4 linked regions of the Anolis sagrei genome follow. The protein of the gene in region 1 purifies or fractionates together with the protein of each later gene. This does not show direct contact. Links are inferred from orthologs where the notes say so. Each region holds a gene or a part of one and is shown on either strand. Other genes may lie near its edges.

Evidence for each region.
Region 2: the proteins of SMAD7 (region 1) and USP15 purify together in Homo sapiens (affinity purification with western blotting; 3 studies listed by BioGRID). This does not show direct contact. The link is inferred for Anolis sagrei from reciprocal best matches to the Homo sapiens genes SMAD7 and USP15.
Region 3: the proteins of SMAD7 (region 1) and RNF111 purify together in Homo sapiens (affinity purification with western blotting; 3 studies listed by BioGRID). This does not show direct contact. The link is inferred for Anolis sagrei from reciprocal best matches to the Homo sapiens genes SMAD7 and RNF111.
Region 4: the proteins of SMAD7 (region 1) and ACVR1B purify together in Homo sapiens (affinity purification with western blotting; 3 studies listed by BioGRID and IntAct, with this or other methods). This does not show direct contact. The link is inferred for Anolis sagrei from reciprocal best matches to the Homo sapiens genes SMAD7 and ACVR1B.

Annotation. Positions count from the first base shown.
Region 1 is NC_090022.1:288,279,987-288,287,871, reverse strand, and holds the start of SMAD7 (mothers against decapentaplegic homolog 7), read right to left. Parts: upstream 3,012-7,885; 5' UTR 1,705-3,011; coding exon 1,092-1,704; intron 1-1,091. UniProt on the Homo sapiens protein: Antagonist of signaling by TGF-beta (transforming growth factor) type 1 receptor superfamily members; has been shown to inhibit TGF-beta (Transforming growth factor) and activin signaling by associating with their receptors thus preventing SMAD2 access.
Region 2 is NC_090025.1:140,457,572-140,464,938, reverse strand, and holds the start of USP15 (ubiquitin carboxyl-terminal hydrolase 15), read right to left. Parts: upstream 3,019-7,367; 5' UTR 2,992-3,018; coding exon 2,723-2,991; intron 1-2,722. UniProt on the Homo sapiens protein: Hydrolase that removes conjugated ubiquitin from target proteins and regulates various pathways such as the TGF-beta receptor signaling, NF-kappa-B and RNF41/NRDP1-PRKN pathways.
Region 3 is NC_090029.1:12,186,977-12,194,200, forward strand, and holds the start of RNF111 (E3 ubiquitin-protein ligase Arkadia), read right to left. Parts: upstream 3,017-7,224; 5' UTR 2,831-3,016; intron 1-2,830. UniProt on the Homo sapiens protein: E3 ubiquitin-protein ligase. Required for mesoderm patterning during embryonic development. Acts as an enhancer of the transcriptional responses of the SMAD2/SMAD3 effectors, which are activated downstream of BMP.
Region 4 is NC_090022.1:139,321,803-139,328,749, forward strand, and holds the start of ACVR1B (activin receptor type-1B), read right to left. Parts: upstream 3,019-6,947; 5' UTR 2,874-3,018; coding exon 2,738-2,873; intron 1-2,737. UniProt on the Homo sapiens protein: Transmembrane serine/threonine kinase activin type-1 receptor forming an activin receptor complex with activin receptor type-2 (ACVR2A or ACVR2B).

The sequences.
Region 1 (7,885 bases):
GGGGGGGGGGTTGAGAAAAATGAAGAAATGAGGGAAGAAATGGAGAAAGAAATGAGGGAAAGAAAAGGGGAGAAATGGAAAAAGAAATAGTTAAAGAAATGGAGAAAGAAATAGAAAAAGAAACAAGGAAGAAATGGAGAAGATGGAGAAAGAAATTGAGGAAGAAATTAAGAAAAAAACAGTGGAAGAAATGGAAGAAAAAACGGGACAAAGCAGGGAAGAGTAAGGGAAGTAGTGGGGAAAGGGGCGCCCCCTCCTCTTTCCCACTCCAATCCCCCTGCAATGGGGGAAGGATAAAGAAATGAAGGAAGATATGGGGGAAGAAGAAATGGAGAGAGAAATAGGGGAAGAAATGGAAAAAGAAGCAGGGGAAGAAGTAGGGGAAGAGTGGAGGAAGCAGTTGAGGAAGGGGCGCCCCCTACCCCAATTCTCCCTCCAATCCCCTTCCAATGGGGGAAGAAGTGGATAAAGAAATGGAGAAAAATATGGAGAGAGAAATAAAGGAAGAAATGGAGAAATAAGCAGAGGAAGAAACAGGGGAAGAGTGGGGGAAGCAGTTGAGGAAGGGGCACTCCCTTCCACAATCCCCCCTCCGATCCCCTTCCAATGGGGAAAGAAGTGGATAAAGAAATGAAGGAAGAAATGGAGAGGATAATAGAGAGAAAAATGGAGAAAGAAGCAAGGGAAGAAGTAGAAGAAGAGTGGAGGAAACAGTGGAGGAAACAGTGGAGGAAGGGGCGCCCCCTACCCCCCTTTCCCCCTCCAATTCCCTTCCAATGGAGGAAATTGATAAAGAAATGAAGGAACAAATGAAGAGGATAATAGAGGGGAAAATTGAAAGGGAAGCAGGGGAAGAAGTAGAGGAAGGGTGGGGGAAGCAGTGGAGGAAGGGGCGCCCCCTCCCCCCTTTCCCCCTCCAATACCCTTCCAATGGAGGAAGAAATTGATAAAGAAATGAAGGAAGAAACTGAGAAAGAAATACTGGAAGAAAGAGGGGAAGAAGTGGAGAGAGATGGAGGGGAAGAGTGGGGGAAGCGGTTGCGAAAGTGGCGCCCCCCTGCCCAAGCCCCCCTCCAATCCCGGCTACCTACCGAGTTCGCAGAGCCTGCTGAGGTGGAAGGGGTTGCAGCAGAGGGGCTCGGGCCCGGGCGCCTTCCCGTAGGACTCGCAGGCGGGGAGGCGCTTGAGCTCGGCGCCGGGCCGGAGGTCTGGCCATCGGAAGACCTTTCCGAGGAGGAGCGGGAGGGAGTACCAGTGGGGCCCCAGCTTGGCGTCGCCCTTGCCGGGCAGGAGGAGGCAGGCGGTGCGGGTGGCGCCGCGGGACTCCACGGCCTGGAGCAGCGCCTCCAGCTGCTTCTCCTTCAGCCGCTTGAGCACGGCGTGGGTCAGCGCCTTCAGCTCCGCCTCCGAGCCGCCCGCGTGGGGGCCCTTGGGGGCCTTGCCGCCGCCTTTGCCCAGGCAGCAAACCCGGCTCCCTCCTCCTCCGCCGCCGCCATGCGCCCGGGGATCCAGCGCGCCCTCGCCCAGCTCCCCGCCGCCTTCCTCGTCGCCTCCTCCGCCGCTGGAGCTGCCTCCGCCGGTTCCTCCTCCTCCGTGGCCGGTTCCCCCAGCTCCCGCCGCTGCTGAGGCCGCCGCCGCCGCTGCTCCCGGGGCACGGCTCCGCCAGAGTCTCCGAACGAGCACCGAGCGTTTGGTCCTGAACATGCGGGACGAGAAGAAGGGCGCTCCCCGGCTAAGCAGCGGGCATGCCGTCCGCAACTCATGAAGGATCCGGGGCCCGAGTCCAGGCAGCCAGGGCCAGCAGCCTGAAATGATGATGGGGCCGCGGAGGGAGAGCCGAGAAACGGGGGAAGGAGGGAGGGGAAAAACAAGGGAGGGAGACCCACGAAAGGCCCCTCTCCGCCTCGGCCTCGGAAAGGAATCCGCCGCCTTTACATCCACGGAAGGAGAGAAAGAGAGCGCGAGGGAGTTCGTGGGGAGGCCTTCCTTTCGCCTTCCCTTCCCTCCTCAAAGAGCAACACAACACACCGAGTCAGAGCCAAGAGATAGACACCATGCCCTCGCTCGCTTCTCCTCCAAAGAAACACAATCCGGATGGATGGAAGGAAAAGGAAGAAAAGAAAGGTGTATTTCCAAGGGTGCTTCTCCTTCTCCTTCCTCTTCTTCTCCCAAGCCTAGAGCCAAGTCGTCTTCTGAAGTGAGTGAGGATGGAGGAGTTGCGTGGCTTAGTTCCCTCCTCCTCCTCCTCCTCCTCCTCCCCCGCCCCTGAAGGAAAAGAAGGGGCTGCGAAAGAAACACAGGAAAGGAGGAGAAGAAAGTCTCCCTCTCTCCAGCAAGGCACACGCTGCTGCTCCGGAGGATCCTCAATCAATGCACAATCCTTCCCAAGGAATCTCTAGATGTGGTCCTGCTCAAAGGAGGGCGAGGCAAAATAGATATATATTTGTAGCGAGTCTTTAAGACCAATCCACTGCCACAATCGCGAGGTTTCTTCTCATCCAGACCAAAAAGAAATCCGTGCCTGGCTTTGGTGAGGAGGGAGAGGAGGAGGGGGGCTTTTCTACACTGGGGGGCTTCTCCTCCTCCTCCTCCAAAGCTGGAGCATCGCCTTTCCGTGCAAAGCCAGCAGCCCCCTTCTTCTTGGAAAGGCTTGCCTTCCTTCCTTCCTTTCCTCGGCACAAGAGCGAGGTTTCCTCGGTGCCAAGTTCTCCCCCACAATCTCCTCTTTTTTGGAGGGGGAAGGGGAGGAAAGGAAAGGAAAGGAAAAGGGGGAAAGGAAAGACGAAGAAGAGAGAGAGAGAGGAAACGCCGCGGTGCCCAAGAAGTCGGCGAGGAGGGAAGGACCGAGGAATGACAGGCGGGGGCAGAGTGTCGCCAGCCAAGCCTCCTGTCTGTCTCTGTCTGTGTGTGTGTGTTGTGTGTGTGTGTCTGCGTCTCTCTCTCTCTCCAATGCGGTTCCCTCCGCGCCTCCTTCTCCTTCCTCTGACGGCTGTCTGCGCCCTCCTTCCTTCCAGCCGGAGCAGCGCCTCTGTCGACACACACAGAGACGACGCACAGACACACACACACATACGCGCACAACAGGGAGGGAGGGGGGAGGAGAAGGGGGAGACCCAGAGCTCTCCTTCGGCCCGGGCTTCCTCTCTCTCTCTCCTTTCCCTCCCTCCTGCCCTTTTTCCGCTCCCTTTCTACCTCCTTCTTCAAGCGCAAGGAGTGGAAGCCAACAGAAGGAGGCGCGCCGTGCGCCCTGGCCTCGCTTCCCTCTCCAGCCTTTTCCTCCCTTCCTTTTTTCGAGCCGACCTCGCTTGGGAGGCTTATGCGGGCACGGATAGAAAGAAGAGCCTTTTCAGAATGGAGTGGTCGCCATACAATGTTGGATTTGGGTTCTTACAAAGAGGGGGAGAGGCGGGAAAGGGGTGCCCCCCCTCCCGGCTTGTGCGCCAGTCCCTTTTACGCACGGATTGTGCGCGCTCGATATGCTCTGCGTTGGCTCTGGTTTTTTCGTGCCAAGGCGACAGGGGAAGGGGGGCTAATGTGGGCTGGGGTCCCTTCTGCCCCCTCCCCACAACCCAGTCCCCTCTTCTCCCTCCTCTCTTCCTCTTCCTCCTCTCTTTCCCCTCCTCCTTCTCCCGCCTGGCTTTGGGTAGCTTTCCGACTGCGCAGTGGGCCACTCTCTTCCTCCTCCTCCTCCTCCTCTCCAATCCTCTCCTCCTCCTCCTCCTCGCCGCCTCTCCCCGTCCTCTCTTATCACGTGGGCGTCTAGACACCCTGTCGCTTTTTGATTTAAAAAAAAAAAGAAGCAAAGAAGGGAAGGAGGGGGAAAAAAACACCCAGCGATTGTATTGCGCAAAGGCGGCATCGGGTGGCTGGAAGCTATTTTTTTCTCTCCTCCTTTTTAATTCCTGAAGTCCAAGGGAAGGGAAGGAAGGAAGGAAGCTCGCAGGGTTGAAAGGGAAATCTCGAGGGAAAGAACATCAACAATCATAGAAGCAAGGTTCAGGACATCCGAGGAAGTGGGTTGGTGATGCTCTTCAAAGCTCACCAGACTCAGGACTCTCAACCTTTCTCATGCAGTGACCCCTTAATGCAGTTCCTCATGTTGTGGTGACCCCCAACCAGAAAATTATTCTCATTGCTACTTCATAACTGCAATTTTGCTACTGTTCTGAATTGTAATGTAAAAAAATCTGATATGCAGGATGTATTTTCATTCACTGGACCAAATTTGACACAAACACCTCATTATGCCCAAATTTGAATACTGGTTGGATTGGGAGGGATTGGTTTTGTCATTTGGGAGTTGTAGTTGCTGGGATTTATAGTTCACCTACAATCCAAGAGCATTCTGAACTTCACCAATGATGGAATTCAGCCAAACTTGGCACACAAAATTCCCATGACCAACAGAAAATACCAGAAGGGTTTGGTGGGCATTGACCTTGAGTTTTGGAGTTGTACTTCACCAACATCCAGAGAGCACTGTGGACTCAAACAGTGATGGATCTCAACCAAACTTGGCACAGATACTCATTATGCCCAAATGTGAACACTAGTGGATTTTGGGGGAAATAAACTTGACATTTGGGAGTTGTAGCTGCTGGGATATATAGTTCACCTACAATCTAAGAGCATTCTGAACTTCACCAACGATAAAATTGAACCACACTTGGCATACAAAGCTCCCATGACCAACAGAAAATACCAGAAAGGTTTGGTGGGCATTGACATTGAGTTTTGGAGTTGTAGTTCACCAACATCGAGAGAGCACTGTGGACTCAAACAATGATGGATTTCGACCAATCTTGGCACGAATACTCAATATGCCTAAATGTGAACACTGGTGGATTTTGGGGGAAATAGACTTGACATTGGGAGTTGTAGCTGCTGGGATATATAGTTCACCTACAATCAAAGAGCATTCTGAATTTCACCAACGATAGAATTGAACCACACTTGGCACACAAAACTCCCATGACCAACAGAAAATACCAGAAGGGTTTGGTGGGCATTGACCTTGAGTTTTGAAGTTGTAGTTCACCAACATCCAGAGAGCACTGTGGACTCAAACAATGATGGATCTCGACCAAACTTGGCCCAAATACTCATTATGGCCAAATGTGAACACTGGTAGATTTTTGGGAAAATAGACTTAACATTGGGAGTTGTAGCTGCTGGGATATATAGTTCACCTACAATCAAAGAGCTTTCTGAACCCCACCAATGATAGAATTGGGCCAAACTTCCTACACAGAACCCCCACGACCAACAGAAATATTGTGTCTGGCAACCCCTTTGACACCCCCTCACGACCCCCACCCAGGTTGAGAAACACTGTGCTAGGGGCATTTTTTCTGAATACCCTCCTCTTTAGGTTGTTGTAGGTTTTTTGGGCTGTATGGCCATGTTCTAGAAGCATTCTCTCCTGACGTTTTGCCTGCATCTGTGGCAGGCATCCTTTCCAATAGATCTCACAACTTCTGAGGATGCCTGTCACACTACAGAACCTAGAAAATGCCTAAGGTAAAGGTCGGTTTTCCCCTGACATAAGTCCAGTTGTGTCTGACTCTGGGGGTTGGTGCTCATCTCCATTTCTAAGCCAAAGAGCCAGTGTTTTCCATTGACACCTCCAAGGTCATGATTGCATGGAGCGCCATTACCTTCCTGTCAGAGTTGTACCTCTTGACCTACAGCGGGAGCTCATGCCGCTCCCCGGATTCGAACCTGTGACCATTATTCCATGCCCAAACAACAACAACAGTTAGAAACAATTTAAACAACATTAAAACAACATATGAAAACATTAGACAACTATTGTGCAGAGATCCAACGCCAGATAATCATTTAATCATATTCATCAATCCAAAGCCAATTCCAACTGTATTATACAGATAATTATGCTGGGCCAAATGCTTCCTCCCAAAGCCAAGTTTTCACATGTTTGCAAAATGACAGGTGATAAGGGACCAATCTAATCCCACTAGCCAGGGAGTTTCATAGTCGAGGAGCCACCACTGAGAAAGCCCTGTCTCTCATCCCTACCAGTCGCGCCTTTGAAGGTTAGTTATAGAACTATATAGATCAAGCTTTCAGGACAGTGCAATAAAGCAGTGATAGGAAACCTTACCAAACCAATTAAATTAGATGCAGATGATCAAGACGGTTTTAAGCAGTGTATTTTAATGTTGAGACAAATGTTTTTTAATATGTATGTATGCATATAATTATGGAGCCCCTGGTGGCGCTATGGGTTAAACCACTCAGCTGCTAAAGTTGTTGACCGAAAGGTTGCATGTTCAAATCCGGGGAGTGACATGAGCTTCTGCTGTGAGTCCCAGCTTCTGCCAACCTAGCAGTTCCAAAACATGCAAATGTGAGTAGATCTGGCAGGAAGGTAATGGTGCTCCATGCAGTCATGCTGGCCACATGACCTTGGAGGTGTCTACAGACAATGCCGGCTCTTAGGCTTAGAAATGGAGATGAGTACCAACCCCTAGAGTTGGACACGACTGGACTTAATGTCAGGGGAAAACCTTTACCTTTACTACTTACGCATATGTAATGAATTCATGCCCTGGCACTGAATGTTTGCCATTTGTATGTTGTGCACTGCCATGAGTCCCCTTTGGAGTGAGAAGGACGGAATATAAATGTTTTAAATAAATAAATAAACGATCAGTTCTATAGTGTACGTAGATGCAGCGCTGTATTATAACAGCACCAGAAAAGGGGCTTGAAATCATCAATCTGTCCTATATATGTGGAATGGGTGTGGGGATAGAATCATAGAGTTGGGAGAAATCACAAATATTATTCACTCCAACCCCCTACCATGGAATGAAAACACTCCCATCAGATGGCCATCCAACCTTTCCTTTAAAAGCCTCTAGAGATGGAGCTTCCACCACACTCTGGGGCTGCATGTTCCACTGCTGAACAACTCTTACCATCAGGAAGTTCTTTCTAATGCTCAGGTGGAGTCGTTTTTCCTGCATTTTGAAGGATATTTTCCTTCAATTCAGACAACAAACAAAATTTGGGACAGCCCTGTCTTCAAGTCCCTGTTTCGCTTCTCTGAGACAGCAGATATTTACTTTAAATCTGTCTGAGATCTACCAAGACAAACAAGGAACTCGTCTGGACAGATCTGGCAAGCCAATAAATTCTTCCAGGAGATATGGGTTAGTTGATTCCCTGTCTAAGCTGTCTGGGTCCAACTCTCTGGAAAAAGGTGTGTGTCTGTGTGTGTATTTTGGGCATTCGCCCCAAGCCTTCGAAGTGTCTATAATTCTTCTGACCCACTTCCTCATTCCAATATTGGAATGCACTGAACTTCGCAGCCCATTCTTTTTTCATCAGTAGGATGGTTTGATGACCTAGATAATGGGACAGCAAAGTTACTTGCTCCTCTCTTTATCTGATAGAGACATCCTGCTCAGTTCAGAGGCACCTGTTTCCACATGCATTCGGGCTAAAAGCTTCCTAAAGTATGGCGAATCAAAACGTGTTGGTTCATTGCGATTCAGAAATTTGAAAGAAAATCACTCAGATAGCTCCATGTACTTGTAGGGGCATTCTGATTTATTATTAAATTGGAAAAAATTATGGTGGTTAATATGGAGCCAGACGTTTTCTCGTCCCTGATATCCTGTCCACAAGAAATGATAGAAGCCTCCAAACCTGAATTTCCAGACTTGCACTTCCCAAGGGGATGTTGGTGGAAACCTTGTTCCACAAGTGCCTTTGAAGAGTTAATGGTGAGTGATAAACTCAGGTTAATTTGCAATGCAATTCAGAATTTGGCAGACAGCTGGAGCCAGGGAACTGTTAAACTAATTGTCTTACTAACGGCACCAGGGTGTGACAAAGCAAAACCCCACAAACAAAC
Region 2 (7,367 bases), on another chromosome or scaffold:
AGATAACCCAGGGCCCTTCCACACAGCCATATAACCCGGAATATCAAGGCACGCATTCCCACATTTTCTGCTTTGAACTGGATTATATTTTATTATTTTTTATTTATTTAGAACGTTTATATCCCGTTCTTCTCTACCTCTGTGGAGGGACTCAAACCGGCTAACAACAGCAAAAATTCAATGCTAAACAATAAATAACATTTTAAAAACAACGTACATAATAAATAAGTTATAAAATACATATAAAAGACAGTTCGCTGAGTTAAAAACATCATCCAACTCAATCCAAACATTATGGTCCAATAACTCTTAGTCTTTACCAGTCAATCCATCAATCTGCGAATGCCTGATTCCAAAGCCAGGATTTCAGTTTCTTCCTGAAGGTCAGGAGGGAGGGGGCAGACCTAACCTCATTGGGGAGAGAGTTCCATAGCCAGGGGGCCACCACAGAGAAGGTCCTGTCTCTTGTCCCCACCAAGCACAACTGCGAAAGTGGTGGGATGGAGAGCAGGGCCTCTATGGAAGATCTTAAAGTCCTTGATGGTTTATAGGGGAAGATATATTCAGAGAGGTAAACTGGGCCGTGTAAAGTTTTATAGGTTAAAACCAGCACTTTGAATTGTGCTCGGAAGCTAATCGCCAGCCAGTGGAGCTGGTGTAACAGGGGGGTTGTGTGCTCTCGCGAGCAACCTGGCTGCTGAGCGTTGGACTAGTTGGGAGATTCCGGGTAGTCTTCAGCGGCAACCCCATGTAGAGTGCGTTGCAGTAATCTATTTGGGATGTAACAAATGGCAGGGTGGACTCTGTTCTAAGCAGATATTGTGGAGTTTTCTGCCTGGATACTCTGAGGGCCCTTCCATACAGCGTTATATCCCAGAATATCAAGGAGGAAAATCCCTTATTATTATTATTATTATTATTGTTATTATGATTATTATTAACTTTATTTGTACCCTGCTAACATCTCCCGAAGGACTCAATGCGGCTTACAAAGGCCAAGGCCTCAATAAAAACAACAGCATAACAATACACATAACATTATAAAGCAAATCAAAACATTAAGCAATAACAGTAAACAATAAAAACAAAACACCATAACACAAAAAACTAGGGCCGGGCCGAATGTAATGGGTACATATTAAAAAGTGCTGAGTATGACAGGTGAAATGTAGGATTTTAGGGTAAGTGCAATATGCAGACAATCTTAAATCTCTGATAAAGTGCTTCTGGGACATATTGCTGGAGTTTCCTATTCTGGAAAGGCACACCGGAACAGCCAGGTCTTCAAACTCTTCCTAAAGACTGCCAGTGTAGGGGCTTGTCTGATGTCCTTGGGGAGGGTGTTCCAAAGTTGGGGGGCCACCACAGAGAAGGCACTGTCCTTCGTCCCCACCAGACGCGCCTGCGACGCAGGTGGGATCGCGAGCAGGGCCTCTCCAGATGAACGAAGAGAACGTGTGGGTTCATAAACGGAGATGCGGTCACGCAGGTAGGCAGGTCCCAAACCGTTTAGGACTTTGTAGGTGAGCACCTGCACCTTGAATTGGGACCGGAAAATGAACGGCAGCCAATGGCGCTCCTTAAACAGGAGGGTTGACCTCTCTCTGTAAGGAGCACCAGTTAACATCCTGGCCGCCGCCTGTTGGACTAGCTGAAATGTCTGAGCTGTTTTCAAGGGCAGCCCCACGAAGAGCGCATTACAGTAGTCCAATCTAGAGGTGACCAAGGCATGGACCACCCTGGCCAGATCAGCTTTTACAAGGTATGGTCGCAGTTGGCGCACAAGTCTCAATTGTGCAAAAGCCCTCCCGGACACCGCTGAAGCCTGGGCCTCAAGCGTAAGTGATGAATCCAAGAGGACTCCCAAACTGCGGATATATCTGCTTTGAACTGAGATATCTGAGTCCATACTCAGATAATGTGGGATTTCCTGCCTTGATATTTTGGGACATAGAGCTGTGTGGAAGGGCCCCTAGTTCAAACCAGATATTGTGGGATTTTCTGCCTGGATATTCTGAGGGCCCTTCCATACAGCTCCATATCCCAGAATATCAAGGCAGAAAATTCTACAGTATCTGCTTAGAACTGGGATATTTGAGTCCCCACTCAGATAATGTGGGATTTCCTGCCTTGATATTCTGGGAGATAGGGCTGTGTGGAAGGGCCATTAGTCCAAATCAGATACTGTGAGATTTTCTGCCTTGACATAACCCTAGCCTTAATGACAGCTGAGCCTTGAGCCATGGCAGTTACATGGGTGCCGAACTGCATTCGTTCTCCATCCTTGGGTGAGGGATACTCCACCCTAGAGAGTGTGAGAGGGCCCTTTCCGGCAACACAGGCCTCAGCGTGGAAGCTACTGGTGGGAGGGGAGGCTGTGGCTGAGAAGCCTTGCCTAGAAAACACACCAGCACAACAGACGCATTTCCTCACGCCACCCTGCTTCGGGGCCCGTTTGAAGCAATGGGGCGAGCCAGGCCCTCCTGAGAGCGGGAGGATGGGGGCGGGGCGGGGAATGGGGAGCCCCAAAGCCTCCCACCTGGCAGCAAGGTAAGCCCTTTTCCTCCCTTAGAGGAAGGGAGGAGTGCTTCCCTCAGCAACCAGGAAAAGGCAGCAGCAGCAGCAGGAGGAGTCGCGCGCACCTGTCACTCAGGAGGGCCCTCCAACCCCCGCCCTTCCTCCCCTCCTCTCTCTCTCTCCCTCTCTCTCCCCTTCGCCTCACCAGGTGTCGCCTTTGCGGAGGGCCGTCTTGAGCAGCGCCGTGATGTCCGAGCGCTGGGTCTCCAGGTCCGCCGCGCCTCCCTCCGCCATGTCTCCCAGCCCCGCGGCGCCGGCGGCGGCGGCGAAAGTGACGGCAGCAGAGGAGGAGGAGGCGGCGGTGACAGGCGCGGCGGCGGCGGCAGGAGCGGGCCGCGCTGCATGCTGGGAGTGACGCCGCGCGGCGACCGGGGAAACGCCCTCCACGACCCCCTCCCACTTCGGCAACCCCATGGATGGGCGCGAGGGAGGGAGGGAGGGAGGGAGGGGAGGGGGCAGCAAGAGGAGGAGGAGGAGGAGGCGAGGCCTCGCGCAGGGTCTGCGGGAGGGAGAGAGAGCGACTCCAGGCGGCTTGGAGGACTGCGCCGCCCTCTGCGGGACGCGCATGCGCGGTTGGGCACAGCCCGGTTTAGGAGCGGCTTTAGCAGAGAGGAGGGGGAAGAGTCAAAAATGGCCGCGCTCTGTAGGAGAAGGGAAGGCGCCTCTATGGCGGATTCTGTTGGGTTCTCCCACTAGTCCAGTGGTTCTCAACCTGGGGTCCCCAGATGTTTTTGGCCTTCAACTCCCAGAAATCCTAACAACTGGTAAACTGGCTGGGATTTCTGGGAGTTGTAGGCCAAAAACATCTGGGGACCCCAGGTTGAGAACCACTGCACTAGTCTATATAAATAAAAATGTAATGTTCGTTTGTGGGATTAACAGAACTCAAAAACCACTGGACGAGTTGACACCAAATTTGGACACAAGACACCTAACAACCCAATGTATGTCCTTCACTCAAAAAAATTGATTTTGTCATTTGGGAGTTGCAGTTGCTGGGATTTATAGTTCACCTACAATCAAAGAGCATTCTGAACCCCACCAACGATGGAATTGAACCAATCTTGCCACACAGAACTCCCATGACCAACAGAAAATACTGGAAGGGTTTAGTGGGCAATGTCCTTTGGTTTTGGAGTTGTAGTTCACCTGACCGCTGTGGCTGTCTGGATGAGGACGAACAAGCTGAAGATTAATCCTGACAAGACAGGTCCCCTGGTCGATCGTAAACCAGACTGGGGTATAGGGTGGCAACCTGTGCTGGACTCCCCCTGTAGTCACAGGTCTGCAGTTTGGGGGTCCTCCTGGACTCATCACTTACACTTGAGGCTCAGTCATCAGTGGTGGCCGGGAGGGCCTTTGCACAATTAAGACTCGTGCGCTAATTGCGACCGTACCTCGGGAAGGCGGATCTGGCCAAGGTGGTCCACACCTTAGTCACCTCTAGACTGGATTACTGCAATGCACTCTATGTGGGGCTGCCCTTGAAAACGGCTCGGAAATTTCAGATGGTCCAACGGGCGGCAGCCAGGTTGTTAACTGGGGCTCCTTACAGGGAGTGGTCAACCCTCCTGTTCAAGGAGCTCCACTGGCTGCCATTCATTTTCCAGACCCAATTCAAGTGCAGGTTCTTACCTACAAAGCCCTGAACAGTTTGGGGCCCGCTTACCTGCGTGACCGCATCTCTGTATACGAACCCACACGATCTCTTCGATCATCTGGAGAGGCCCTGCTCTCGATCCCACCAGCATTGCAGGCGCGATTGGTGGGGACGAGAGAGAGGGCCTTTTCGGTGGTGGCCCCTCGACTCTGGAACTCACTCCCTAGAGACATCAGGCAGGCCCCAACTCTGGCAGTCTTTAGAAGGAGCTTGAAGACATGGTTGTTCCAGTGTGTCTTCCCAGAATAATGATCCCATAGCACTTTGTCCTCCGAAGCACTTTACATTTTAGGTCTGCTTGTATATTTTCCACAAATGCCACTACCACCTTTTCGCCCATGCTCCAGCATTATTTTCAATTTTAATTTTATATTTGGTCCTTCCCACAGTTTTAATTGTGTGTTGTCTTATTGTTAATGTTGCATATCTTATTGTCCATGTTTTTTTCATTTTAATTGTTTGTATTGTTGTTACAATTGCGTGTATTGTTGTATTTGGGCTCAGCCTCATGTAAGCCGCACCGAGTCCCTTGGGGAGATGGTAGCGGGGTACAAATAAAGTGTTGTTGTTATTATTATTATTATTATCCAGAGATCACTGGACTCAAACAATGATGGATCTGGACCAAACTCTACACGAATACTCAATATGCCCAAAAGTGAACACTGGTGGAGTTTGGAGTTTGGAGAAAATAGAATCTTAACATTTGGGAGTTGTAGTTGCTGGGATTTATAGTTCACCTACAATCACAGAGCATTCTGAACCTCACCCATGACAGAATTGGGCCAAACCTTCCACACAGAACCCCCATGTGGACCACAGCACCACGTGGCAGGGGACAGCTAGTTTTTTTAAATATTGATATAGAAATTTGTATTAAGATTTGTGTATACTAAGGCCTCTTCCACACAGCTGAATAAAACCCCACAATGGATTATGTTGACTCAAGATAATCCAGTTCAAAGCAGATATTGTGAGACTTTCTGCCTTGATAATCTGGGTTATATGGCTGTGTGAAAGGGCCCTAAGACATATTTCAAACATACAAGCAAGCATGCTACAAAATAAACTACTACAATCTATATAAGTCATGGGCAAACTTGGGCCCTCCAGGTGTTTTGGACTTAAACTACAACTATATTGTTGTAGCAGTTTCTTTGTAGAATGCACATAGGACAAGACTGGTTTTGCTTGTGTGATAAATCTGAAAATGAATTATTTCGGAAGAAAAGACAAGAAGGAACAATGTGTGATGGGATCTGAGAAACAGTACGATTTAATTTCTAAAGCTTTGTTGTTGTTTATTCATTCAGTCGCATCTGACTCTTCGTGACCTCATGGACCAGCCCACGCCAGAGCTCCCTGTCAGCCGTCATCACTCCCAGCTCCTTCAGAGTCAAGCCAGCCACTTCAAGGATACCATATTGCCCTTGGTCAGCCCCTCTTTCTTTTTCCTTCCATTTTCCCAAGCATCATTGTCTTCTCTCAGCTTTCCTGTCTTCTCATGATGTGGCCAAAGTACTTCATCTTTGCCTCTAATATCCTTCCCTCCAATGAGCAGTTGGGCTTTATTTCCTGAAGTATGGACTGGTTGGATCTTCTCACGGTCACTCTCAGAATTTCACCACAGTTCAAAAGCATCTATCTTCCTTTGCTCAGTCTTCCTTATGGTTCAGCTCTCACATCCGTAGGTTACTACGGGGAATAACTATGTGGATCCAACCGGACATAATGTCACGGATATATGCTGCTCCCCTCCTAATGGGATGAGGTCTTTTCTGTGGTTATAGAACATCCAACTTCTCAATAGAATTAATGTTACACTCATTCTATTAAACAACCCATTAGTAATCAAATCCAAAAAGTGTCAAGGGCTTCCAATATTTCAAAAACTGTACTATATTTTTTCCTCTAATTGGTAGACAGTTTGTCAATTTCTGCAATGCTTACTTTCAGCAGTGTTCTTCAACCTCCAGAAGTCTGCCTGCGATAATCATATACTGAAGTATTCTCTCATCACTCTTTCTAGTTCATCAATCCCATTCAACTGCTTTTATCATGAATTGGATACCATTTAAATTTTAAAGCTTTAGGCAGTCTGTAGTGTATCAACAAGGTGCCTTTACCTAATATTGTAATACCAAGATCTTACAAAATTAAACAGACTAAGGGTTGAAATGTAGCTTTAGGAAGTTGAGATCTGCATAGTACACACATATTACTACATTTTTGTCTGATGATAAGGTTTGGAATTTCTTTTGCAAAGTGCTTTTTTAACCCTCTGATAAAATCGTTAACAGTAAAATCATATGAAGGACAGTTTTCTCTTAGGATGTGAAGAACTATTCCTTGTCCTCCCAGTTCTGTCTGCCTATACGGTCAGTTTATTATTATTATTATTATTATTATTATTATTTATTAGTTTGCTTTGTATTATATTGGTGGTTTTGTTTTTGTTTTTAATTTATCTGATGATTTGTTTTGTAGTTGTATAGCTTTGTATTTTGTTATTCCTCCTTCCCTAGGTGTATGTATACAGGCATATTTTAGATTTTACAACTTTGGGAGGACCCACTGTTTTAGGCTACTTCACTATAAAGAACAATGCATTTTAATAATGCTGTATAAGTGAACAATTTTGTTTTAATTTATTGTAATGCAGTATAATTTACTGTTCTATGTTTTAATTCTGTTGACTGGGCCTGGTCCCCATGTAAGCCGCCCCAAGTCTCTTTGGGGAGATGGTGGCAGGATATAAGAGTAAAATTAGTAATAATAATAATAATAATAATTTTATATAAATATTCACTTCAGTACCTGGCAATGCCTGGGTAAGGTCATTAGGAAGGAGAAACATTAGAAACAGGCATTGTTTGGTTTTGAATTTTATGACTGGACACATTAGATAATGCATAAGTATGTTGGTGAACTACAAGTCCGATCATAGCAGGTGACACCCCCCACCTGTTAAAGTTGGGAATGATGGATATGTATGCCAAGTTTGGTCCAGGTCCATTCTCAGTGAGGTTAACAGTGCACTTTGCATATGGGTGAACTATACCCCTCATTGTCCTCCATCATTGCCTCCCAGTGCTCTCTAGAAGTTTTCCCTGAATGTGGGGAGAACTGC
Region 3 (7,224 bases), on another chromosome or scaffold:
GGACTGTGACCTGGCCCTCTGTTTAAAAAGTTTGTGGACCCTTGTTTTATGTAATATATTGAATTGTGTGTGCAGATCTAGATATATCTTTGAGTCACAATCTCCCTCCAGATCTATATCTATAGATAGATAGATATAATATAATGTTTTATAGAGAGAGGGGAGGAGGGGGAGAGAGAGAGAGAGAGAGAGAATAAAATATACCGGCGACCTTTTGGTCAGCAAGTTCAGCAACTCAGCAGTTTAACCCACTGCACCACTGGGGCTCCATATATATATGTATATACTATTATATTTTGTGATATGTATATATATATCTATATATATATTGGGGGTGGTGACGACCAACAGGGAGCTCTGGCGTGGGCTGGTCCATGAGGTCACGAAGAGTCGGAGGCGACTGAACGAATGAACAACAACTCGGGATGAACGGAGTCATCCCGAGTCCCTCTGCGGAGATTGAGATATGACGGGATATAAAAGCCTGGAATCTATATAAATAAAAATGTAGTGTTCGTTTGTGGGATTAACAGAACTCAAAAACCACTGGACAAATTGATACCAAATTTGGTCACCAGACACCTAACAATCCCATGTATGTCCGTCACTTAAAAAAAATTGATCTTGTCATTTGGGAGTTCCTGGGATTTATAGTTGACCTACAATCAAAGAGCATTCTGAACCCCACCAACGATGGAATTGAACCAAACTTGGCACAGAGTTCTCTCAAGACCAACAGAAAATACTGGAAGGGTTTGGTGGGCAGTGTCCTTTGGTTTTGGAGTTGTAGTTCACCTACTTCCAGAGAGAACTGTGGACTCAAACAATGATGGATCTGGACCAAACTCTACACAAATACTCAATAAGCCGAAATGTGAACACTGGTGGAGTTTGGAGAAAATAGAATCTTGACATTTGGGAGTTGTAGTTCCTGGGATTTATAGTTCACCTACAATCACAGAGCATTCTGAACCCCACCAATAACAGAATTGGGCCAAACCTCCCACACAGAAATTGGGCCAAACCTCCCACACACCTCCCCATGACCACCAGAATGGGACACAGCAACGCATGGCAGGGGACGGATAGTATATATATATATATGTGTGTGTGTGTGTATGTATGTATGTATATATATGTGTGTGTGTGTAATGTTCGTTTGTGGGATTAACAGAACTCAAAAACTACTGGACAAATTGACACCAACTTTGGACACAAGACACCTAACAACCCAATATATGCCCTCCACTAAAAAAAAATATTTTGTCATTTGGGAGTTGTAGTTGCTGGGATTTATAGTTCACCTACAATCAAAGAGCATTCTGAACCCCACCAATGACGGAATTGAACCAAACTTGGCACACAGTTCTCCCATGACCAACAGAAAATACTGGAAGGGTTTGGTGGGCACTGTCCTTTGGTTTTGGAGTTGTAGTTCACCTACATCCAGAGATCACTGTGGACTCAAACAATGATGGATCTGGACCAAACTCTACACGAAGACTCAATATGCCCAAATGTGAACACCGGTGGAGTTTGGGGAAAATAGAATCTTGACATTTGGGAGTTGTAGTTGCTGGGATTTATATTTCACCTACAATCACAGAGCATTCTGAACCCCACCAATGATAGAATTGGACCAAACCTCCCACACAGAAAGCCCATAACCACCAGAATGGGCCACAACAACGCGTGGCAGGGGACGGCTAGTATATATGTGTGTGTGTGTGTGTGTATATATATATATATATAATGTTCATTTGTGGGATTAACAGGACTCAAAAACCACTGGACGAATTGACACCAAATTTGGGCACAAGACACCTAACAACCCAATATATGTCCTTCACTCAAAAAAATTGATTTTGTCATTTGGGAGTTGTAGTTGCTGGGATTTACAGTTCACCTACAATCACAGAGCATTCTGAACCCCACCAACGACGGAATTGGGCCAAACCTCCCACACAGAACCCCCATGTGGGCCACAGTAATGTGTGGCAGGGGACAGCTATATAATGTGATACATACATATATATATATATATATGGCATTATATGTGTGTGTGTGTGTGATATAATATAACGTGATACATATATAAATATATATATATATTCCGAGCCACAATCTCCCTCCATATGTAGCTATATCTATGGGCCCTTCCACACAGCTATATACATACATATATATATGGCATTATATGTGTGTGTGTGTTATAATATAATGTGATACATATATATATATTCCGAGCCACAATCTCCCTCCATATGTATCTATATCTATGGGCCCTTCCACACAGCTATATACATACATATATATATGGCATTATATGTGTGTGTGTGTGTTATAATATAATGTGATACATATATATATATTCCGAGCCACAATCTCCCTCCATATGTATCTATATCTATGGGCCCTTCCACACAGCTATATACATACATATATATATGGCATTATATGTGTGTGTGTGTTATAATATAATGTGATACATATATATATATTCCGAGCCACAATCTCCCTCCATATGTATCTATATCTATGGGCCCTTCCATATAGATATATCCCAGAATATCAAGGTAGAAAATGCCACAATATCTGCTTTGAACTAAGTTGAGTCCACACTCAGATAATGTGGGATTTTCTGTCTTTGTATTCTGAGAGAGAGAGCTGTGTGAAAGGGGCCTATACAATATAACAAGGCCCCCTTCTCTCCAAGCAGATCTGCGTGTCTTTCTCCTCCCGGGCCGGGCCGGGCCTAGTCTCCCCCCGAAGCCACGGCCTCCGTTTGCAGTTATGCCCGAGGCCAGGGGCCCTCCTCGGGCCTACTCACCGGAGGGTGCGCGGTGGGGCCTCCCGCTAGGCTTAGGCCTGAGCCTTCCTGCCTTCCTTCCTTCCTTCCCCCTTCGCGGCCTGGCTTTCCCTCAGGCGCCGCTCTCCTCCTCCTCCTCCTTCTCTTCCTCACCGCCTCTGTCGCTCTGCTCGGCGGACGCAGCAGCGCGACACTCGGCAGTGGGATTGCTTTACGGCAAAGCCGCCAAGCAGCGCCGCCACCGCCTCTCCTAAGCCCCGCCCCCTCAGGGAGTAAAGAGGTTCAAAAGCACTGAACGTCACGTCTGGTTCTGGTGCGACGCTTTTGGGTGAGAGTCATGGCAGGGTCATCCACACAGTCAAAGGCTTTAGAATTGACTACTCTAAAGCCTTTGACTGTGTGGATCATAATAAATTGTGGCAAGTTCTCGGTGGGATGGGCATCCCAAGCCACCTTGTCTCTCTCCTGAGGAATCTGTACAAGGACCAAGAAGCAACAGTCAGGACTGACCACGGAACAACAGACTGGTTCAAGATTGGGAAAGGCGTACGGCAAGGCTGCATCCTCTCACCCAACCTTTTTAACTTGTATGCAGAACACATCATTCGAGGATGTGCGGGGCTGGATGAATGCAAAGCTGGGGTGAAAATTGCTGGAAGAAACATTAACAACCTCAGATATGCAGATGACACCACTCTGATGGCCGAAAGCGAGGAGGAGCTGAGGAGCCTTCTAATCAAGGTGAAAGAAGAAAGCGCAAAAGCCGGGTTGCAGCTAAACATCAAAAAAACCAAGATTATGGCAACAAGAATGATTGACAACTGGGAAATAGAGGGAGAAAACGTGGAGGCCGTGACAGACTTTGTATTTCTAGGCGCAAAGATGACTGCAGATGCAGACCGTGGCCAGGAAATCAGAAGACGCTTCCTTCTTGGGAGGAGAGCAATGTCCAGTCTCGATAAAATAGTAAAGAGTAGAGACATCAGACTGGCAACAAAGATCCATTGCCTAGTCAAAGCCATGGTATTCCCTGTAGTCACCTACGGATGTGAGAGCTGGACCTTAGGGAAGGCTGAGCGAAGGAAGATCGATGCTTTTGAACTGTGGTGTTGGAGGAAAGTTCTGAGAGTGCCTTGGACTGCGAGAAGATCCAACCAGTGCATCCTCCAGGAAATAAAGCCCGACTGCTCATTGGAGGGAAAGATACTAGAGACAAAGTTGAAGGACTTTTGCCACATCATGAGAAGAAAGCAAAGCCTAGACAAGACAATTATGCTGGGGAAAGTGGAAGGTAAAAAGAAGAGGGGCCGACCAAGGGCAAGATGGATGGATGGCATCCTTGAAGTGACTGGACTGACCTTGAAGGAGCTGGGGGTGGTGACGGCCGACAGGGAGCTCTGGCGTGGGCTGGTCCATGAGGTCACAAAGAGTCGGAGACGACTGAACGAATGAACAACAATCACAAAGGACTACCACCTCACCTGCTTCATAGGAAACCTGCTACAAAACAGGAGCTTTTTTGTTGAGTTCAGGGCCAGAGAAGCAGATGGCGGAAACAGAAGAACGGCCTGCTTCAGGGGAGCGTGCTTGCTCCATCAATGTTCAACATTTACACAAATGACCATTCCACCTAAACATTAGGAAGAACTTCCTGATGGCAAGAACTGTCCCACAGTGGAATGGACTTCTGTCTCGAAGTATGATGGAATCTCCTTCTCTTGTGGTCTTCAAGCAGAGGTGGAAACTACAACTCCAAAACCCAAGGTTAATGCCCACCAAACAAGTGTTAATGCCCACCAAACAAGTTGGACAAGTGTTTTCTGTTGGTCATGGGAGTTCTGTGTGCCAAATTTGGCTCAATATCATAATTGGTGGAGTTCAGAATGCTCTGGTTGTAGGTGAATTATCAATCCAAGCACTATAACTCCCAAATGTCAAGGTCTATTTTCCCTAAACTCCACCATTTATTTATTTATTTATTTATTTACTTTACTTTACTTGTATACCGCAGTTTCTCAGCCTAACCGGCGACTCAACGCGGTTTACAACAAGGATAAAATCAATCAACGATATACAATTTAAAACCACAAGAGCACAATATACAATATTACACAACAGTAACAACACAATGCATCTCATAACTAGAGTTGTGATCCAAATTCGTCGTCCATATTTCCATTCCTGTAATCGTCACATTCATTGCACTGATTAACCAAATGCCTGTTCAAACATCCAGGTTTTTAATCTTCTTCGGAACACCATTAGCGAGGGGGCTGATCTTACCTCCATGGGAAGGGCGTTCCACAGCCGAGGGGCCACCACAGAAAAGGCCCTGTCTCTCGTCCCCGCCAGCCGCACCTGTGAAGCAGGCGGGATAGAGAGCAGGGCCTCCCCAGAAGATCTTAGGGTCCTGGCGGGCTGATAGGCAGAGATACGTTCGGATAGGTAGCTTGGGCCAGAACCGTTTAGGGCTTTAAAGGCCAACGCCAGCATTGAATTGAGCCTGGTAGCAGATCGGCAGCCAGTGGAGCTGGTGCAGCAGAGGAGTGGTATGCTCCCTGCGCTCCGCTCCTGTTAGTATCATGGCTGCCGAACGTTGGACTAGTTGGAGCTTCCGAGCTGTATTCAAAGGCAACCCCACGTAGAGAGTGTTACAGTAGTCTAAACCATTGTTCAAATTTGGGCATATTGAGTATTGTGTTAAGTTGGTCCAGATCCATAGTGGTTTGGGTTCACAGTGCTCTCCGGGATGTAGGTGAACTACATCTCCCCTAAATGGAAATGTGAGATCGAGCTCTCAAGCCCCAGCTTTCAAGCTGATCTGAAAGTGCAGCAGAGTTCCTGAACATCTGGATGAGCCAGCAACAAAGAGACTGTGGCCACAGCAGCATTCAACTAAAGACTATTTCTCTCCATTTTCTTTCCTTCCCCTTCCCTAACATTGTAACTATCCCCCAATAAAGAAGTATTTATTTGTAACATTTCACTCTCTGTAGTCATATGTTGTATCCCTTTACTGCCTCTAACCCAGTGGTTCTCAACCTTCCTAATGCCGCGACCCCTTAATACAGTTGTGGTGACCCCCAACCATAACCCTAACATTATGAATCGCCATGTAAATAATAATCTGCAGGATATATTTTCATTCACAGGAACAAATTTGGCACAAATATCTGGTATACCCGAATTTGAATACTGGTGGGTTTGGCAGGGGGATTTATTTTGTCATTGGGAGTTGTAGTTGCTGGGATTTATAGTTAACATGTAAACAAAGAGGATTCTGAACCCCACCAACAATGGAATTGAACCAAAGTTGGCACAGAAAATTCCCATGATCAACAGAAAATACTGGAAGGGCTTGGTGGCATTGACCTTGAGTATGGGAGTTGTAGTTCGCCTACGTCCAGAGAGCACTATGGGCTCAAACAATGATGGATCTGGACCAAACTTGGTACGGACACTCAATATGCCCTAATGTGAACACTGATGGGGTTTGGGGAAAATAGACTTTGACATTTGGGAGTTGTAGATACTGGAATTTATAGTTCACCTACAATCAAGGAGCCTTCTGAATCCCACCAATGATAGAATTGGGCCAAACTTCCCACACAGAGCCCCCATGACCAACAGAAAATACTGTGTTTTCTGATGGTCTTTGGCGACCCCTCTGACACCCCTTCGTGACCCCCTCAGGGGTCCCGACCCCCAGGTTGAGAAACACTGCTCTAACCCGTTCTAACATGAACCTTTCCTTTTCTGAGCTTCAGATCACTGCTGGCTCGCCAAGGATGCTCTTACAGCGTCCCGGAGAGGCCGAAACTGTGTTCCTCTGAACCGTGGATATGGAAATCAATTTGGCCCCCGTATCTGCAGGTCAACGGACCATCTCCAGACCGGTGCCATCTTTTTCCTAGATTAATTCTAAGACTAAATGCCATCTCGCTTTTTGCACTATGGACCCCTGCGCCCCGAGAAAAATCATTTTTATCTCAAAACCTCATGTGGGGACCAGTTGACTTTGGTCCATGGCTCCATGCGGCAGCGACATTTGTGCCTCCATCTTGTGTGTGTCCAGAAGCCTGCCAACCCCGGGGAACCTGCCGTGGTCACCCCTTGGGAATCCTGAACCTCTGACGGGGCATTCTGGCCATTGGACAAAATTGGATTTATAGTTTTCCTTTCTTCAAATGAATGGATCTTGACCATCAGCACTCACAGTAACCCCAATGTGCTCCCCGTGGACTCTTATGAACTTTCCAAGGCTCCCTATGAACTTTCTCCCAACCTTTATGAACTTTTGCAACTTTTTAAAATTTTAATCAACTTTTGGTGAACTTTGGAACTCTCAGGCGCCCTCTGCCTAACCCCAGTGAACCCTTTATGAAATTCCACAACTCTTTATGAACTTTTAAGGA
Region 4 (6,947 bases), about 150 Mb from region 1:
ATCAAAATGCCCCAATATATTTTTTCCAGGGAGGAACTCCGTCCCAAAACCCAGTTCTTCCATGGTTTTGAATTTTCAGGAAATCTGCATCTGAATGTCCATATTAACAAGGACCCCTTCCACACAGCTGAATAAAATCCCAATAATCTGCTTCAAGCTGGAATATATGGCAGTGTGGACTCAGATATCCCAGTTCAAAGCAGATATTGTGAGATTTTCCGACTTGATATTCTGGGTTATATGGCTATGTGGAAGGGCCCAAGAAGGTACATAATGAGGGAAGCGTAAAATGTATTTTTCACATGATAAAAAATCATTTGAGGTAAATTTGACAGGTGCTGGTTTGTAAATATGGAATTGAGAATTCATGGTAAAATTACGATAATTTATTATTCCCCTATAGATCTTTAAGTGACTTCATAAGAAACATCATCAAGAGACTATTCCATATGAATAAACTGCCCTGCATCAGCATCAGCTCTGTCAATGTACAAGATGTTCTCAAGAGCAAGGCTTCTTACCTTCTTTGAAAATAAATTAACAAATGTGTCTGCACATAAGGAACTGGTTTGTGACTGGCTCCTTCTTTGATGATGTCTTTGTTGAGACAGCAAGGGGGAATTAAGAGTCATCAGACTGACAGTGCTTTACAAGTGAAACCAAACAATAAAAAACCAGGCTATTTAAGGTGAACCCAAACCTCACTTAGAATGTATGATTACTTTCAAAGGTTAACATATGATTTCCTTTTCGGAGGAGAAATTTGTGTTGAACGTTATCTCCTGTATTTGAAAATGTTTTGATTTTTATTATTACTTTGAAATATTTCTATCTGCATATACCCACAAAATAAGATATCTTAAAGATGGGCCCCAAGCCTTAAAACGCCATTTATTGCTGTTTCACATATACTTTATCCACTGTATACCAGATTTTAAATAACTTTGTGAATTAAACAAAGATTGCATTACTGAACCACCAGAAAGCAAAAGTGTCATTATTATAGTACAGGACAAAATGTTTTTAACATGATATAGTTTTAAAGTCTAGGTTTTCTTTTCGAAACCTATAGTGAGAGTAGCATTTTTGTAAATAGCTTTTAAATAGTGATAAATTTAAATTTATATCATAACCTAATGTAAGCATTCACATGGATGAATGATTTTAAGGTAACTACTATAGAACAGGACAAAATGTTTTGAACATGATATAGTTTTAAGGTCTAGGTCAGGCATGGGCAAATTTTGGCCCTCCAGGTGTTTTAGACTTCAACTCCCACAATTCCTAACAGCCAGTAGGCTGTTAGGAATTGTGGGAGTTGAAGTCTAAAACCTAGAATTGTAGGAGTTGAAGTCCAGAACACCTGGAGGGCAAAGTTTGCCCATGCCAGGTCTAGGTTATCTTTTTGAAACCTACAATCAGAGTAGGGTTTTAAATGGTGTTAAATTTAAATTTATATCCTAACCCAGTGGTTCTCAACCTGGGGTCCCCAGATGTTTTTTGCCTTCAACTCCCAGAAATCCTAACAGCTGACAAACTGGCTGGGATTTCTGGGAATTGAAGGCCATAAACATCTGGGGACCCCAGGTTGAGAACCACTGTCCTAACCTAATGTAAACAATGTACTGATGTGGATGAATGACTGTAAGGTGGAATGCTTTGAATGCAATTTTCCTGCTTCTTGGCAGGGGGTTGGACTGGATGGCCCATGAGTTCTCTTCCAACTTTATGATTCTACACTGGTCGTGGACTGTAAATATAAGATTTTGATTTGATTTGTCTATTTCAGCCATCCATGTGGACCATTTTGGAATTTAGGGCAAGAGATGCTCAAACTGTACATCTTGTTGACAAAATATGTAACATCCATTTAAACGTGCTTTTGAAGACATCGGTCTCTCAGAGTCAGTTCTGTGATACAATACAGAGAGAAAAGGAACTGGCAGGCCTTCAAAGGCCTCTCCCCTCTCTCACACACACACACACAGAAACACACCAACGCATGGGCACAAAAGGACCCCTCCCCTCGTCTGCAAAAACACACACCAATAAATGACTGAATAAAGATCAGATGTCCCTCTCATCTTCCTGGATGGTTTCTGAACCCTAGCATTGACACCCCTCAATGGCGAACCATCTCTATAAATAAATGGCCGAATAAACATCACCTTCTTCGATGGCGCCTAAGCCCCAGCCAATGAGCCACCCCAACAGGAGGCGAATAAATGACTACATAAACAAACGCTAAGGTGATGCTCTCTCCTTCCCCGATGGGGCCTAAGCCCTAGCCACTGAGCCACCCCAATAGGGGGCGAGCCCCCTTCCTGCTCCCCAGTCCCCCAGAGGCAGGCAGGCAGGCAAACACACCCGACCAAGGCACGTCCGCCATACCTTCCCAGGACGCCGCACCTCAGAAGGAAGGCGCGCCGCCTCATTCCAGCCATGGCTGCTGCTGAGGAAGGAGCCACACAACAGGAGCTTCGAGGAAGGGCTGAAGGATGGCATGGGCCTCCCCTGGGGAGGGATAGATGGGGGACGGGGAAATGGGGGGGGGGGACTTGCTTCCTCTTCCCCCCACCCTTCCCCCAATAATCTTGGCCTCCTTCTCCTCCTCCTCCTTTTTCTCCACTACCCTGTGAGGAAGGCTCCCCAATATCGCAGCCGCCATGTTGGCGAAGGCTCTGTTTCTTTCCCCCCTCCCGCTCCCTCCCTCCCCCCTCCCTCCGCTCGCGCTCACCTTGGGCCCCCCGCTGGCCCCCCAGCAGCACCAGCACCAGCACGGCCAGCCCGAGGCAGGTAGGGAAGAAAGGGCGCGGGGCGGGAGGAGCAGCAGGAGTGGCGGCGGCGTTGGCGCGAGCCGGGCCCCCCGCCATGGCAACGGCGGCCTCGCGGCAACCTCCCCTTCCTCGCTCGCTCGCTCCGACAACAGCGGCTCCAGCAGCAGCTGAGGCGACGCACGGCCGAGACCGCTGCTGCGCGAGACAAATCAGGCACACAAGACAAGCCAGCGAGAACTGGAGGGGAGGGGGGAGGAGGAGTGGGAAGAGCCTGCCGGGCTTTAAAGGGGAGGCGGCGCTTGGCGCTTAAAGGGGAACACAGGCAGCCGGTGTCCGCTAGGCATGGATGTCGGCGGACAAAAAAAGACGCGCGTGCCTTAGATCAGGAGATCAAAGAAGTGGACCCTGATACCAAAAAAAAAAAAAAAAAAAAAAAAAAAAACAAAAGGCGGTTTCCTGCCTTCTGTGTTCTCCAGGAAGGGACTTTCTTGGGGCCCTTCCACACAGCCCTGTATCCCAGGATAGCAAGGCAGAAAGCCCCACATTATCTGCGTGTGGACTGAGGGTCCTTCCACACAACCCTATATCCCAGAATATCAAGGCAGAAAACCCCACATTATCTGCTTTGAACTGGGTTGTCTGAGTCTACACTCAGATAATGTGGGATTTTCTGCCTTGCTGTCCTGGGATATAGGGCTGTGTGGAAGAGCCCTCAAGAGTCTTAGTTTTTAGGCCTGTTCCTGGGGTTATTTGGGGTGCTGATTCAAAAAATTGCATTGGATGGACCCCATCAGCTCTGGTTTCTTAGGTCCCTTCCACACAGCCCTATATGCCAGAATATCAAGGCGGAAAATCCCACATTATCTTTGAATTTGATTTTCCTGCTTCTTGGCTGGATGGCCCGTGAGGTCTCTTCCAATTCTATGATCTGAGTGTAGACTCAGATAACTCAGCGCAAAGCAGATCTTGTAGGATTTTCTGCCTTGATATTCTGGGATATAGGGCTGTCTGGACAGGCCCTTGAGTCATCAGACTAGTTTAGGGGTGCTTCCACAGATCTGCTTTCAACTGGGTTATCTGAGTCCACACTGCCCTATATTTCAGTTTTTTCTTTCGTGTCAGGAGCGACTTGAAAGTTGCTTCTGATGTAAGGGAATTGGCTGTCTGCAAGGACATTGCCTAGGGGACAACTGGATGTTTGATGTTTTATCAACCTTGTGGGAGGGTTCTCTCGTGTCCCCACATGGGGAGTTGGAGCTAACAGAGGGAGCTCAACCTGCTCTCCCCAGATTTGAACTGCTGACCTGTCGGTCATCAGCCCCGGCAGCACAAGGGTTTAGCCCATTGCACACTGGGGGCTCTATATATTCCAGTTCAAGACAGATAATCTGGGATTTTATTCAGCTGTGTGGAAGGGCCCTTAGATATGGTTGACACAATTTTCTAAAGGCAAGCAGATGAATGCTGGTAGATGGCATATGTTCTGTATCTCAAAAAGTAGAGCCCATAGGGGGGAAACTGGTGCTATTTGTGGGATTTCCGTGTCAAATCCACCTAGAAACAGCCCTAACTTTTGTGGCTCCAAAATGTGTGTTGGCCAGTGTAGTCTTCCTTGGCTGAGTGTAGAAAATGTGGGTAATCTTTTTCTTATTTCATTGCTATTGCACATGCCCCTCAAGAATGGGACGCAAGTTATTTAAAACAATGTAAATTAAAAACAATGCTACAGCTAAGCTAAAAGTATAACCTAGGCATGGGTAAACTTCAGCTTACCCATTCCTAACACCCTTTAGCCCTTTCCTTTACCCCTCAGCCACTTAAGTGGGAAAGGGAAAAGGAAAGGACCTCAGGGTGTTAGGAATAGTGGGAGTTGAAGTCCAAAACATCTGGAGGGCTGAAGTTTGCCCATGCCTGGTATAATCCCTAAGTGTTTGAGTGTTCGGACAGCTCTTACCAAGAAAATCCTGTGGTAGTGTTGCCATGGATTTGTAGAGCAAACAACAAAGTGACTAAATATCAACATCTATATCTATACGTAACTATGTATGTATATATGTCTGTATGAGAGAAAACTGCTAAATATAGCTTTAAAACTGTATACACTCTCTTAAAAAGCCATTACAAACCACTGCACAGCACTAAACCCAACCCTACTCAGTTTGAAAACACAGACTTTGACTGACAAAAATAACATGAAAATGTTGAAAAGAAGAGCTAGTTCTATTTGGTCCTGCTCATAAGCATTTACTTCCAGAATCACATTATGAACATTCACAGTTACAAGACCTGACTTGTAACTATTATCAAAGTGCTTTTTAACACGTGTTCATTAACGTTTGGCCCCATCATTTCAGTTATTACTTTGAACTGACAACTATGCTTCAATTGCTTTTATTAAAAGGAGTTATACCTTTTTTGTGTGTGACAACAGGTGACCTGAAAGTTTCTTGTTACTCTGATGGCCTATTCGCAAAAGAGGCTTGCCGTTTCACTTAATTTTGGACTAATTCCCAGAATCTCTCAAGCAGCATGGCAAGGGCCTGTGGGGATTCTCGTAGTATTAGGCCAAAAAGTAATTTTTCTAAGCTCCAAATGTAAGTTGTAATTTGGTGTTAGTAGTCAAGAGCTGAAGATTATGAATGTGTAAAGAAAACCTGTGTGTAGGGAAATCCAGTAATGTGAACTTGTTTTATACCCAAATTGTAACATTCATTATGCTATTCTCATATTTATTGTAGGATGAATTCTGCTGCCTCAATGATACTCTTTTGGATATGCGCTTGCACATTGAGTCAGATATGGAGCAGACTGGAGGACTGGTGATAAGACTTGCATCATGTACATAGCAGGTACAAAAATGCAATGTAAACATTACTTAAAACTAGGAGACAGTTTGCGACACTTCATAACCTGGTAGTAGTAGTGATAGTGATTCATTTTAATTGCCTCATCCACACCAGAGCTTTCCAGATATTTCATGTTGGAGGCACACTTTCAGACGTGTAATTTCCACAACACAACGTAATCAACCAATGAAAATTCAATCATGTGACACACCCGGGCACTCCAGTCAACACACAGCTTGAAAACAGTTTGTCTACATGAAGGATTAGGGTGCATCTACGCTGTGTAATTAATGCAGTTTGACACCACTCATTGGTATGGAATCATGGGAGTCGTAGTTTGAGGATACAACAGCAATCTTTGGAAGTGAAAGCTAGAAAAGAGGCACCAGCTCTGTACAACCCCCATGATTCCATAGCATTGAGTCACGGCAGTCAAAGTGATGTCAATCTGGATTAATTCTGCAATGTAAATGCACCCCTGGCCTTGGTGTAGATATATTTCTTTGCTGTTAAACCCTAAGCTTGGGGAAGCTTACATTTCCAGTGAAGTCAGATGCAGGAGATTGAAGATTTCCCTCTCTTCTCATGCATGTGAATTTAAATACTCTTTTAAAGCTTTCCTGCATTGCTGGCTCTATATGAAACTCAGACACAATGACACTGGATACCCCTAAGTCTGAACAGCTATTTTCAGACCCCAGCATTTTTAAACCAGGCAGAGGATCTTTCTAAATGCAGCTCAGCAGAGTGGTGTAAGCCTCTCTCTTGAGAACCACCTTCCAAATCCTGGTGCTGGTGGCTCCCTAGAGGGGTAAAATCCATGTGAGATCCTAGTTAAAATATGCCTGGTTGTACAATAAACATAGAGAGACTAAGATCTGTTTCTCCTTTCTGCCATGGCACACAAGTGCTGTGCTATGGGTCCCCTGGGGAGCATATGTGCTGCTGGGGCAGTTGCATTCCAGACTTGAAGAAAATCCCCCATCTTACATTCTTTCTGAAGGCTCAGCTCATGATTCACTTATGGAATTCCTGGTCTGCCTGCCTGCTTGCGTGTGCTCATGCGCTTGGACAGAGTTACACCAGGCCTCCAAAGCTTAAAGCAAGGAGAGCATGTCCAGCTGCTGGACCCTTGCCAAGAGATGTACGGACTGTAGATAAAGAATGGCTGGAAAATAAGAACACTTCAGGGAGTGAAAGTGGTTCTGATCATTCACACAAACGTACAAATTTGTTCTCTTCCTTTCTGTTGTGGTTGTGCAGACATTTGTCTACATCTACAGAACTTGGTTGCATCAGTGCATGAGCCAGGGATAGTGTTAAT